Linked DNA regions of Drosophila melanogaster. The protein of the gene in region 1 interacts with the protein of each later gene in a pairwise test. Each region holds a gene or a part of one and is shown on either strand. Other genes may lie near its edges.

Region 1 (4,569 bases):
CTGCCGGCCGACGGTCCACACTTTGTCATGGCCATGTTATTATGGAATTCACATTTGATTTAATTGCCGAGCCCGGGAGTCCTTCGTCCAGCTCCCTTGCCGCTTTTCAGCTCGTAAAACCACCGAAATGCGCGTGTTAAGCCACCGAACCACCGCACGCACCACACACTCCCCCTTTGAAATAAAAAAAAAAAACGGAAAAAACACCAAACAGAACGAGAAAAAAAGAACTCGAAATTAAGTTGTTCATTAGGTTTTTTTTGGACCTTCTCAGTCTCCGTCTCAGTTTTTCGGTTACCACTCACCGCGAACGGGAAACTCGTGCTGGCCGTTAAGGCCATAAAGTTAGCAGTTGGCCCGGGGCCACGATTTGGCCGACAGTGCGATAAGGATTGCAAATCCACTCGGTTTTGTAGAAAGTGAAATAGACATTCCGGCCAAATCCAATTTGGCCGCAATGAAAGGGTTAATTTCCCCTCTGGCGTGCTGCTCGCCCATTTCTCTGGAATTTTTCGTGGCCCAATCGAGGCCAGTGAGCAGTCAAAACTAAATAGTTCCGGACATAGTAGCAACCCCTAGAAATATGCGACTATTCCACTTGCTTTGCCACTTCTACACGTGTTAATTATCAATTATTGGGTACGATCCATCCTTAGAATGCTGAAAAATGTATCTTGCAGAACACAAAAACCTAAATTTGAGGTATTACTTTTGGAAATATATCTAATCTAACTAACAAGCAGTGATCCAAAGTATCTGGTGAGACCAAAAAATCCCCTCTAATTTTAAGAGACCTTATAAAATGTGAACGCGTAGCAAAGGTTTTTTCCAGATCCACAACGGCTACAATTTTAAATGTTGAATGCGATCTTGAGGCCAAATTGCGAGTTATATATATAGGGATGTTGCTAATCTGGGTTCTCGAGAACCGCTTTCTGGTTTTCAGGGGGGATAATATACGAGTATAATTAGTATCTTCCCCAAGTGCTACCGATTTCTCCACAATCCTCAACTCGTAAGTCTCAATTAGCTCCGTGCACATGTCAAGCGGAACAGACATAAAAACCGATAGAAATTAGTTAAACATACAATAATTTAAATTCGTGCGATTACCGAAAGTGGAACCGACAGGTTGGCCGAGCTTCTGTTTCGGAACCCTCTCCCTTGATTTTATTTTTTATCATTTGCTGCCCCCCCCGCAGATCAATGGATCGATCGAAGCCAGAGCCAAGCGGGGCATTAACAGCCGCTAATTAAAATAAAAAAATTATAATAAAACGTACGCTTCACCATTTGAATATGATTAGCTTGCTCTTTCTGGACCACGCTTAAGTAAGTTGTCCGACGGCTCGTTGCCTCGTTGCCGATGGCCAAAAGCCCCGAAAGCCGGTGGCTTGGGCTTTGGCTTAGAAAGCACACAAGTCAATGGGCCATAATGGCAGCCAGAAACGACGGCATGACAAAGAATTAATTAGCATACGATTTTTGACTTTTGTCGCTCGCCGTGGTCGTGGGAAAACTAAAGTCTGGCCAAAAAGGCAGTCATCGATCGTTGGCAGTCTGGCCAACGATCGATTGGTCCGCTTTAAATGAGTTATCTCGGTGCGGCGGAAGTTCAATTGGCCGTAGTTTTGCATTGCAAATTCGATTCAGGCCATCCGGTGGCATCTTCCACTTCATTCACAACATGAATATTATTCGAATATTATTGGAATCGAATCTTGGCCGAAACTAACGCCGCCGGTTGAATGAAGATCGCCCCGTTTGGTTCCGTTCAGACTCGATCCGTTAGATCAGATCGTCGTTCATTAAGAAATAAGCCGATCGATGGCAGGGCGTTGGGTCTGGGGGGACGAGGTCGGACTTGAGACCGATGTGTCGAACTCGATAAGCAAATATCGTTATTAAAGTCTTTCAAAAACGCCGCAACCTGATCGGGAGCGACTCGATTTTTAATGATTTAGTTGTTGAGAAAGCAAATTATGCGCAAACAAATTGATTACGATCGTTTATGGTGGTCATTATGGGCAGGTCGATGGATGCGACCAGATCTTAATTAAGACGCCGATAAGTCATCGTCGTTAGCTTTTGTCAAGTGTTGGCATAATATTACGGATTAGAATGTGTCTGCACTCAAAATGCAATGTGTGCACTTTTCACCAAGTTCAATTAAGCTTATCTGGTCTCGAGTAGAAAACGAGATAGCACATCTGGCGTAAAATCCAAATCAACAAAATATACAATCTAAAAACTTGTCAGTGAACTAATAAAGTTGTCATCTAATTTCATTTAATGAAGCAGATTCAAATAAAAGCTCAAATTTATTTTCAGATCCAAGCAAATGTATTCTAACTAATTTATGCCAATAATAATGACAATTCGTTATAAACGATCTATGGAATATTATAACAGATACTTGAATCTGCTAGTTTTTTATCTTTTTATGTTCTATTTTTTATAATCTAGATAGCAAATGAACACTTAAACTTTACCAATTCAACATAACTTGGTGAAGCTCAATTTAAAAACGTTGTGCAAGCATAAAAGCTTGACCAAAAACGGATAATCTTCCATGAATAGTATCTTTCCTAGATGGTTATACTTTTGAAATATATAATTCAAAAGATGTGCTCACCTTAAACTTAGAGCACTGAATTCGCCGGCTATCCAATAACTTTGCCGCAACTTGGTTCGAATCCTTTGATCACTTGAGCACAACACTTTCCGCTCGAGTTTTGCATGCACCGTGTGGCTTATTCCGCGGATAATGGCCGATTACTCAGTTCGGAGGCGCGACGGCTAATGGCTTCTGTATGATTCTTATTTGGGAGTTCGGAACGCGACGCACCTTGTCACTCGACCGTCAAAAATTCGACTAACTGCACGCGAATCGCGGGACCGGCGCATCGATTCGATCAATTTTTGTGGCAGTGGCAGTGGCGGTAGCAGTGGAAATTGAGAGTTGGCTTCGTGCCTCGCCCGCGGTCCATCAGCCGACAATTTCTACTGAAGCGCCGCCAAGCAGAGCGGCCCAAAACGCCACCGAAAAGCCGCCGCTCACTAACACACTCGTAATACGCGGCCCGCACACACTGACACAAGCGTTCACGGACTCACGGACGAACCGTTTTTCTGGTGTAACCGGTTTTTCACGGCTGCGACGTCCGCGTCGGTTTCAGCCCCATTTGGCCCACCGCCAGCCAATGAGAGCCAATCAGAGAGCTGGCCCGGTGCGCATGCGTCGCACGCTGCGCCGACGGTGAGCTGCCATTGGCCAGATTCGGCAGCAGGGGTGGGGGCCAGGTGACACGTCCTCCGGGAGCGAAATCGACACGGGCACAGTGGGTCAAGTGTGAAGCTAGAGGCTAGTGGGCTAGGTCGATTTCAACAGCATAGAAAACCGCATTGAAATTAGGGGTAATTACGTAAAGCCACTATATTCAGAGAGTGACTAATACGCAGTTACCTTTGTAGATAAACATTGCTAATCTGGTTAGTTGATTAGTTGGTTAGTAGTAAAAATTGTGATGATACTCAAGTGCAGCTAACTAAACTATCTTTGTGATTTAAGAGTTCAAAACTTTTTAGGATTACATTGTAATATATTTGGGAAGAAAGGAAACCTTATAGAAGCATGATACCATGACCTTTTACATTAAAGCTACTTTGAAATGTTAAGAATGAGCCACCTGATTTGAAACTAATAGTTTAGTGTCAAAATTGTTTTTCTAACTTGGTACACAAACTTAATGTTATGAGCAAAAACCGAGCAAGTTCAGTACAATCCAGCTTGCAACTTTTGCTCCACTGTGCGATTGCATGACGTCCGTGCAGCCCGCCTTCGCTCTGTGAACGCTCTGGGGGTAGTAGAATTTGGTGTGGATGGTCGGCGAGTTCCGGCCAGAGAGCGTTGCGGCAGAGCGTAGCCTTATCCGTGGCCGTTTCCGCAGCCGATGCGTTGCCGTTGCAGCCGCGTTCCGGCCAATCGGCGGAGGCAACGCAGCACGCAAACGCTCTCACTCCCGCCCCCCGCCCACGTCCTGCATCGTGTGGTTCATAGAAACTGATAGTGTATGTATCTCGCCCACTCCAAGGACCCCATCCACATCCACATCCGCATTGTGACACTGCATAGCCGTTACCCTGGCGAAACAGCCACAGCTACGGCCACAGCTACGGCTCGTCCTTGCCCACCCGCTGGAAACTCCCGGGGGAGAGGAGGAGGAGGAGGAGTAGGAGGAGCGGCAGGAGGCGGAGGTCGTTGGGTGGGTGTCGGCGTTAAGTAACGCTCGGTGGTGCCGCAGGCGTTAATTGAATTCGACAATTGTCGCTCGGCATTCACAATTGGAAATGGATTTTCACTGCGACGGCGACTGGTGCTGAAAGATAAAGCTGTCACATTGTTTGTGATTGTTCCAAGGGAGGAGTCCGGATTATTGATCCATTCGAGGTACCGAACATGATGAATGGAAATTAGTTGCCATGACTAGGAAATCAATGGTCCCTAGCAGGGGGAACTCCTGATCCACCAAGACTGGCTAAAGCCTAACCCGTTTTTTGGAGCCGCGT
Region 2 (4,383 bases), on another chromosome or scaffold:
TTTGTACGCTAGATTTAGTTTCAAATGATAAATTGCAATAAACGGTCGCTTGCGATCTTCAAAATCAAATCGATAACTTATTAACTTATATGTAACGAAATTTCAAATGGTATATTCCAAAAAGTGCAAAGTGGTATTAGCGGTATATTTTTTGGACACACACGGCATATTTTTGTGACCGCGGCAGGGTAACACTCTTTTGTTGCTGATTAAAAATCCGCTTAACTCGTGGCGAAATTTGCATTTACGATTTCGCATACAAATCGCGTTGAAAATCAGAGTGAGTGCACCCCAAGCAAGCGCCCAGTGTAGCCCCACTCACTGCGCCCTCAATTCCTTTCAGATGCCGGGCGTTGAAACGATCAAATCCTCCTGGGCGGACGAGGTGGAGCTCGACTATGGTGGACTACCTCCGACGACGGAGACGGTGGAGAACGGACAGAAGTACGTGACGGAGTACAAGTACAACAAGGACGACAAGAAGACGAAGGTGGTGCGCACGTACAAGATATCCAAGCAGGTGGTGCCCAAGACGGTGGCCAAGCGACGCACCTGGACGAAGTTCGGCGACTCGAAGAACGACAAGCCCGGCCCCAACTCGCAGACGACCATGGTGTCCGAGGAGATCATCATGCAGTTCCTCAACTCCAAGGAGGACGAGAAGGCCAACGATCCGCTGCTAGATCCCACCAAGAATATTGCCAAGTGCCGTATCTGCAACGGTGAGCATTGGTCGGTCAACTGCCCGTACAAGGGCACGGCGATGGACACGAATATGATGGAGAAGAAGGCTTCGGCAGCCGCCGCGGCCGCCGTCGATGCGCCCAAGTCCGGCAAGTATGTGCCGCCGTTCCTCAAGGACAGCCAAAAGGGCGCGCTGGGAATGCGCGGACGCGACGACACGGCCGCCATTAGGATATCGAATCTGTCGGAGTCGATGACCGAGGCGGATCTCGAGGAGCTGGTGAAGAAGATTGGACCGCAGAGCAAGATGTATCTCGCCCGCGACAAGAACACCGGACTCTGCAAGGGATTCGCCTACGTGCACTTCAAGCAGCGCAAGGATGCGGCCGCCGCCATCGAGATCCTCAATGGACACGGCTACGACCACTTGATCCTCAGCGTCGAATGGTCGAAACCCCAGAACAATTAGTTAGTCCCGTTCCCACTACCCGCGTTTACTGCTCATAGGAGTCCGTTCGAGTCGATCACACAATTTGTCCCTATGCTATGCTAAGTTTGCTACAAATAAATCTTAAAACAGCCCCCATGGGCACCGAAAACCAGATGACTATGCTCTGCAAGGATACAATGGCATCTAGAATCGTATATTTTTCATATTTGATATAACTTAATCGCTCTTCTTTAGTTTTGCGGACCAACCAACACAAATGCTTTCGACTTTTGCTCTAATATAGCTTTCTCCCTCGTTTTAAAGGACGCAAGGCCACCAAATCGTAGACACTGGGAACAACATATAAAAGAAATATTTTTTATTTGTTACTTAAAAAACTTGAATATGATTTGTTAAGTGTATTTTTTAACGACATGCAGCTACCCACATATGGTTAACAAGTTAACCTTACGCGGTGCCCACTGTAGAAAGCATGATTCCAGCCGATCTGGCAACGCCATCGTTTGCATGCGAATAAACACCATGGTGTTGTTGTTTTTGTGTTTGCCAGCGATTTGCGTAAATTGTGTTTGTTTTTGTGGCCAAAAATAGAAATCAGATGCCGCAAAATATTCAAAAAGCATTCGAAACAATATTTTTGATCTTCAGGTGTGCGCTCATTTTCAGTCGTCAGTGAGACGGGCCCCCAGGCGAAAGTCTTTGTTGTTGCTCCGTTCGAGCGAAATGGCCACCGCCACCGTTGGTTCATCCAGATCCGCAACCACATCCGCAACCGCATCCGCATGCTCATCCAAATCCAAGAACCTAAAGAATCCGGCGCCGCAAATAAAAAGGGGACAGCGGATCCTCACGGAGAAACCATTCGCCTTCGTCTTGAAATCACAGTACCGCCTGGAGCGGTGCGATAACTGCCTGGAGGCGTAAGTTTCGCCATGTGGCTGCCTTTGTGAGCTATCTAATTTGGGTTCGTCGTTGCAGGACCAAGGTGCTGAAGTGCTCCAACTGCAGGTATGTGTCCTACTGCCACCGCTCATGCCAGATGCAAGCTTGGGGCCAGCACAAGCACGAGTGTCCTTTCCTCAAGAAGGTGCATCCTCGAGTTGTGCCCGATGCTGCCCGAATGCTCTGCCGACTGATCCTGCGCCTGGAGCACGGCGGAGACCTGATCCGCGGCTATTACACCGAGCACGGCTCCCGCAAGTTTCGCGATCTCATGTCCCGTGAGTAAACCAAAGGGCGAACCGCTTTGCATGGTCATTCCTAGCTAATCCACGTTAACGTGCACAGATTACGCCGAAATCAAGAACGATCCCATGCGACTGGAGCACTTGGACTCGCTGCATGCCGTCCTCACCGATATGATGGCCGAGAGTCCCAGCACGGTGCCAAACAAGACGGAACTGATGAGCATCTATGGTCGCGTAAGTGTGCAGGCACCTGTGCGAGCGAGCAGGAGCGGATTGGGCGATTCATCGCACTGGTACTGAATCGAGAAACCAAGACGCTTGCGTATGCAGCCGCTCCTGGTCGCCCAAATTAGATAGCAATCAATGATGTATGCCTGGCGCTCTGCCAGTCAATTGATTATCTAGGAAGGGCTTCGGTTCACATTCCCCGGCGCACAGTTACGCGGGAGCTCATGCTCTTTCTTCTCTGCTCTTTGCAGCTGATCACCAATGGCTTCAATATCTTGGACGCCGAGATGAACTCAATTGCCACGGCCATATATCTGGGCGTCTCGATTACGGACCATAGCTGCCAGCCAAATGCGGTCGCCACCTTCGAGGGCAACGAGCTGCACGTCCACGCGATCGAGGACATGGAATGCCTGGACTGGTCGAAAATCTTCATCAGCTACATCGACCTGCTCAATACGCCGGAGCAGAGGCGTCTGGACCTCAAGGAGCACTACTACTTCCTATGCGTGTGCAGCAAGTGCACGGATGCCAAGGAATCGAAGGAGATGCTGGCTGCCCTGTGTCCCAATCGCAACTGCGGTGCGGGAATCAGTGTGGACCGCAATAATTGCCCGCGATGCGATGCCGGCATCAGTCCCAAGTTGAGAAATGCCTTCAACGAGGCGATGACTCTGACCCGGCACAATCTGGAGAACATGAAGGACGTGGCCTGTGAGTAGATGCGACGAAATGGAATTAGCTCCATAATAAGCACATTTTCACTCTCTCGATCACAGATCTCGATGTGTGCAAGGTGTGTCTGGACAAGCAGACTGGCGTGTTCCATCCCCTGAATGTGTGGTACGTCAAGACGCTCGATGCGGCCTTCGAAGCAGCCATCGAAGTGGGCAAGTGGAGCGACGCCCTGGATTACGGGCAACGTTTGCTGCCAGGCTTTCGAAAATACCACGGACCCTGGAATCCGCTATTGGGCCTGCTTCACATGAAGCTGGGCAAGATTCAGCTCTACGAGGGCCATTCCAAGGAGGCACTGCACCATCTGGAGGAGGCCCAACGCATCCTAACCGTCACCCACGGCCGAGATCACAGACTGCTTACTGAGCAGCTATACATGCTCGTTCTACAAGCGCGACAAGAGGCGCACTAATGGGATTTAGTTGTTTTTATTCATTTAAATAAGTCTTAAGTTAAATATTGTGTTGCGTTGCGGGAAGAATGGAATGGATTTTTGTGGATAATTACTTTTCTATGTACAACAGAAACCATTCGGAGAATTAAAGATTATCAAATTCTATTACTTTTGGCATTTGTGGTAAACAATTCAAGGAATTAAAGTAAGGACACATTGATGGTGATCATCAAATTTAGACTCCGTTTACCACCTCAAATGTGATGTCTATCCGCCGTTCAACATTCCTCGCTCGCAAAAAAGGCGCACGCGCCCTATACAATCTGCGTAATGGCCTTGGCCCGCCAATCCGTATCCTGGAACAACGCCCTGATTAGGTGCTTTATCTCATCCGACTTGTAGCTGGCGGTCAGCGGGCCGACGCCGTCGCCCCACAGCTCTGTGATCTCCATGAGCGACGCGTTCAGCATGGCCTTCAGTTGCTGCAGCTTAAGCCAAGAGAGCACCTGGACCACCTCGTTTGGTTCGCGGAAAAGCGTGGGCGCCCGCTGGAGCACCACGTCAATGAGATCGCTCAGCTCACAGGCCATCTGTGCGGAAATGTCGCGCAGCGTGAACACTCGACGGATTAGCTCGGCGACAAATGTGTTGATTAGCTCGCAGAAGGTTGCATTGTACACGGTCTCCGGGAGCACATTGGC
Region 3 (5,513 bases), 4.7 Mb from region 1:
AAACATTGAAATTCTGGCCGGAGGACGGACTGTTCCACGCGACTGCCAGTGCAACTCCGGACGTGATTTATGCTGCGTGCGCCTGACAAACACTCGAGAAGTGATGATTTATAATGAAGATGCATGCTCGGTTATTAATTAAATTCTGACGCGACTGCGCTCCATTTAGTCTTAAATGCGAGAACCAAACAAACTGATCTTTAGTTAGCCTAAGGTTATGGTTGTCGTCTTACGCAATAAGGGCCAAAAGATCCTTAATTGATTCGAAATTCCAGAGGCAAATTCCAGTGCAAAGTGGTAAGAGGTATGCAAAATATGTTATGCTGAGAATCTTATAATAATACTTAAACATATCTGCAAGTTCATTTCCTTCCTCAGATTTCTCTGATCCAGTTAGGAAACTTAATATATTGACTTAGCCAAAACAAGATAGAATAGAATACTTATGTTCAGATGTTCGGCTTGAATGTGATTCCATAGATACCCATGGATAGATAGGTTATAAAGTAGCCAACAAATTGGTAAATACTCAAAAATGACGAAGTCGAAACAAAGTCTGCATTCTGTTTGGCAGTGGAATTTGAAATATGGCAAGCAATAGTCGAATATTCATTAAGCGCAATTATGAAAATTAAGTTGTCATTTTGATTTGAGTGCCCGCGACACTCGGGCATGCGGCCTCATAAGCAGATCTAGATCCCCCCCGCATCCGCAACCGAATCCGAATCCCCGCCAGAATTCTCATTAAATTAAATCAAACTGACAGCCCGGCCGGCTAAATGGATGCCCTGCGATTCGTCCCCTTTCCCCTTTTTGCTCCGCCATCTCGGCGACTAATTAACGTGTTTTCAGATATTTTGTTCAAATCGCGCCTGAATAATGAAGACGTTATCATGGGGCATCCGCGCATCCAGGAATGGGCACCCTGTAGCCCAGTAGATGTTGTGGATTTGGCTGCTGGCCAATTGGAAACTAGTGTCAGCCAGGCCGCCGGCTAATTTCTCAGATCCTCCCCTCCATTCGGATCCTGAGTGCCCCTTTTCCATTTTCCATTCTGTCTGAATTATGTGTTCATAATTTCGAATTAATGAAATTTTTACAGGGGGCTTGGGATTGGGATTCAAAGAAATAGAAAGTTATAATATGAAATATCTGTAAGGAAGGTGTTCTAAAAACTCAACAATTAAGTTATGATTCAAAAAATGTTGTGCTTCAAAATTACTGTTTCTCAGATTTAAATTGAATATATTATACACATTAAAAATGTTTCTCAAGCTAGTAGAACCCAATTATGCATTGCGTTACAATCACTTAGACTAATGGCCTTGTATTACTTTGTTAAGAGATTTAAAAAATTCCAAAAAATCGACAAAGAAACCATTTGTACATTTGAATACAATTTTTTGAATGCTGCATTGTTTAAAGAATTCTGAATTAACCCAAAAGAGGACACGTGCCTGCACACCAAAGCACTGAAAACAAATCCAGTCAAAGAAATTGCTCGCCGTTCATTAATCAAATGGATGAAATATGTTGGCAAACGTATTAAATATATTTAGCAAAGCCATCGAAATATTAAATAGCGCTACTTGTAGACAATTAGCCAAAAATTATGACTTTTAATCACGGGCAAGGCGACAAAAACAATTTCGAAAACCCAGAAGACGGCGTTGAACGCGAGCCACGCCCCTCATCCCAAACATTTCACACATGTTTTAAAAATAACCGAACTTGTGTGCTGTCTTCAGTGAAAATCGAATAGTATGTTTCTGTTCCTTTCTGTCGTTCTATTTGCGCATATGGTGTGAGCGGTGCGGAGATATATGATTTTAGGCTCCGCCCCGCCAGGCGATCATCTTGAAAAATCGGCCAGTGAGCAGGATGCTCCGCATATTCAAATTAGTTTTCCGTAAGATCTCCACGCGCGCTGTTGTCTCCGGAATATCTTCAAAATATATATCGCTCGCAATCGGCGGAAACATGAATTCGCAATCGGCAGTGCGTCGCTATCCACACAGTTTTTCCATCGAACAAATTCTGGCCAAGCCGGAAATGCGCAGCTCCACTTCCTTTGAGGACTCCGTGCAGGATGAAAGCGGTCGCGGTGGCAATTGTCTCGGTGCTTCACGGGCTTCCAGTCCGGCAACATCGAGTTGCTTGGATGACAACATGGACGACGGCAAAAGTGATATCGATTTGGCCTCAGATGATGGAAACGGTGCGTATGATCGATATGCCGGAATATAAGCTTTACAACGACGAGAATTTTGGTGTCTGGAATTGGATTTGGGATCTAAAAACTTAACTTAAAGCTCAATTGGATCCTTATTAAATAGCAAATATACAAAATATAGATTTATACTGAACTTCATCAGGATAAATAGCACCAACAGCCAAATAGTCAGTGCTTTAGTGCTTTTAAGTGTAGTATTATCAAGGTTCAAGGAATTATCAAGGATCTTTCAAATAATACAGTTACAATATACAAATTTTAAATTCTGAAAAAAAATGTCTCTAAAAGATGATTTACCTCCTAATGGAATCACCCATAACGAGCTCAGCACAGCCGTTCATTATTGTATGTAAATATGCAATGAGTTTCCCACCTGAACGAATGAGTGAGTGCCTATGGCTGAATGATCTCATCTGTCATCCGTGCGATCAAGAAACAAATGATCAGAAATTAGCTTCTGGGTGACAGGGAATAAGCCATCCATTCCATATCCACATTTTCGTCGACACCAACGCAGTCGACTAATGATGCAAATGTCACAAGCGAACAAAGATCGCTGGCGATCTCAAAGGAGATATTCTTCCACCCGTTAAGAAGGAATTTATATGGCTATTTGTTTTCGGTCGGCCAAGAGAATGTATGCCAAAATGGCCAATTAGACGCCTTGGCTAAGTGAAATGCAACAGTGTGATTTGCAATTTGCCAGGGGTTTTGCGGTGCGACGGGGCATTTTACATACACATACAACTGTGCCAACAACGGATCGACAAATTACCATTAGGCGAAAATAGTTGGCACCGCGCGCCGGATTGCCCGCTGTCGGTAGCAATAAATGTCTAATTGGGATTTCGATTTCCCACTTTGATTCCATTGCAGGCCTTGGTGATGACCGCAAAAAGCGACCGCGTACCGCCTTCTCGGCAGCTCAAATCAAAGCACTGGAAACGGAGTTCGAAAGGGGAAAGTATCTTTCGGTGGCGAAGCGAACTGCACTGGCCAAGCAGCTGCAGCTCACAGAAACGCAGGTTAGTTGTGGAATCTATCAAAAAATTTAATTACTACCCAAAAAAGTTTGCCATTCTATCTAAAAGCGATTAATAACATGAAATGAAATCCCTTGTATCTATGAGATACAATTGGCATTCCTCGTAAATAATTCATTCATTCATTTCACTTTTCAGATCAAGATCTGGTTCCAAAACCGCCGCACCAAGTGGAAGCGCAAGTACACCTCGGACGTGGAAACGCTGGCCTCGCACTATTACGCCCAGCTGGGTATCGGGGGATTGGCCAGGCCGATGGTGGTTGGTGATCGCCTTTGGCTCTTTAGCCAAACGCCAACGGGTCCCACGCCCATTCAGTCCATTATGCTAAATGGCAGTGGCTCCGCTGCACCCATGGCCTCAGCAACGACGGCCACCGGCTCACCCATGCGTCCGTACGCGACTAGCGGCGGAATGCCACCGTTGCCGGGTCCCAGTGTGATGGAGAGTGCCCGTAATGCCATACTGGCACGTGGACAACCCTTGAACTTCGCCCTGCCCTTTGGCGTGGCTAAGCCGCCGGCGGGTGGTGTGCCTGCGGCCAGCTACATCCCTCGCTGCAAGCCGTATGCGACCAGCTATGTGGACTACGCGGCGTCACTGCCAACGAACGAGAGCTATCTGCAAATGAAGTACGCGACGCTGCCGCCGGAAGCGGAAAGCGGCGCCTCCAATGGCCTCGCCGAACTGGAACGCGTCTTTGGGGATGCCAATGCCAACTTTCTGCAACAACGCAGCACGCCAGTCGCTGGAACAGCCACAGCCTACGGCCACGATGGATTAAATCAGGCGCAGCGGAGCCGCAGACCCACACAATCGGAGTCCGAGTGCAGCGACATTGACTGCGAGCATCTGGACGAGGATGAGGAGCCACCTGCTGCGGAGTGAAAAGGCGATTGGTTGTCTTTAGAATTTATGTTCCGTACGTCTCTCATACACACAAAAATATGCTCATACAAAGTGTAGTCATAGGGGGTAGTAGAGTAGGTGTCCTGTCTGGGTTGATTCCATTACAACTAGCTGAGAGTGGCACACTTTCAGATCTGGCCGGGATTACTGGCGTACCCCTGGTGGCTCAGCACTGGTCTAGTTTACGTTGTGGTTCTAGTACTAGTACTAGCGCTAGTTATTGCTATTCTATGTTACATTGTGTGGGTCGGGTACTGTTTACTGACTGGCTCTCAACAATTAATAAATGTAAATTAAATAATCAAAAATCACAAATATTACACGTCCGTTGCCGTTAGAACTCTAGTTGGATCAACTTAAATGCTACAAATTACACGCTGCATACTATAACTTAACCATTGCTATAACTATTTGCAATTTAACACGATAAATTGAGAGAGATAGACAGATAGAGAGAGCTGTAACAAAAGCGAACGACACTGACTTATTTACAATTCATTGCGTTGCTTGTGTGGCTGGTGTGCTAGAATGGAACACTTTTGGCTCTTGCCACACACAGTTCGGTTCGGTTGACTACTATACATAGTGGAGACTCATTTGATTTGATTTTGTTACGCCAACAGTAGGTCCGTAGGCTAGGGATCTGGAGCAGACGAATTGCGTTTTCTATCAGAAATCAGGGCTAGTACTCCAAGTACTCCTGCCTACGCGATGGCTGCGAACAGCGTCTACTGTTCGAGGAGATTCCATAGTTACAACTTAGCTAATTGGTCAAATAAAAATTAAAACTCATAGGGCTATTTTTGGTATTGCAAGCACGCGGAGCTAGCTGCGTGGTAATGGAAGTGGAGCTGGCGGTACTCTGTCCTTAGCGTCGTTAGCTCCAAGAGAGCTCGTAGCCCTTCCAGTTGGCGTTGGGTGCCAGATGCACGCGCCGTTTGTTGTAGTAGAAGGAGACGATGCCATGGTAGGCAGTCCGCGGAACACCGCTCTACAAAGATTAAGAATAATCATAGTTTCAAGCACATAGATTGATTGATCTACCTTGAAATCATCCATAAGACCCAGCATCTTAGTTGTCCGCTTGTACTGCTCCCTAGTAGTGTATTGAATGCGAACTGGACCTTCGATTCTGCAACACCATAATTGGAATTATGTAGATACTTTCTATATATCATATATCAACTCACCTAATCAGGTTTCGCCGCAGCTCATCGTACGTAACAATGGGATACGTATAAACGCGCCGCAGAAACGTGTTATCGTAATTGTCCTGAACATGAAATAGTTGTTAGTGTAATGAGGCAACAATGCACGGGTGTGTACCT

Evidence for each region.
Region 2: the proteins of Poxn (region 1) and Smyd3 interact in a two-hybrid assay, tested with the Drosophila melanogaster proteins (one large-scale study listed by BioGRID).
Region 3: the proteins of Poxn (region 1) and lms interact in a two-hybrid assay, tested with the Drosophila melanogaster proteins (one large-scale study listed by BioGRID).

What each region holds. Positions count from the first base shown.
Region 1 is NT_033778.4:15,832,048-15,836,616, forward strand, and holds the start of Poxn (Pox neuro), read right to left. Parts: upstream 3,009-4,569; 5' UTR 2,636-3,008; intron 1-2,635. UniProt on the Drosophila melanogaster protein: Transcriptional regulator that specifies poly-innervated organs (chemosensory bristle). Also controls the number of neurons.
Region 2 is NC_004354.4:2,606,143-2,610,525, reverse strand, and holds Smyd3 (SET and MYND domain containing, class 3), read left to right. Parts: upstream 1-1,649; 5' UTR 1,650-1,858; coding exon 1,859-2,055; intron 2,056-2,113; coding exon 2,114-2,355; intron 2,356-2,422; coding exon 2,423-2,556; intron 2,557-2,801; coding exon 2,802-3,264; intron 3,265-3,329; coding exon 3,330-3,700; 3' UTR 3,701-3,846; downstream 3,847-4,383. Other genes in the region: eIF3g1 (eukaryotic translation initiation factor 3 subunit g1), read left to right, coding at 344-1,153; Zw10 (Zeste-white 10), read right to left, coding at 3,997-4,383.
Region 3 is NT_033778.4:20,554,978-20,560,490, forward strand, and holds lms (lateral muscles scarcer), read left to right. Parts: upstream 1-1,899; 5' UTR 1,900-1,980; coding exon 1,981-2,218; intron 2,219-3,109; coding exon 3,110-3,258; intron 3,259-3,414; coding exon 3,415-4,164; 3' UTR 4,165-4,976; downstream 4,977-5,513. Other genes in the region: Mgat1 (mannosyl (alpha-1,3-)-glycoprotein beta-1,2-N-acetylglucosaminyltransferase), read right to left, coding at 5,063-5,176, 5,230-5,317, 5,376-5,458.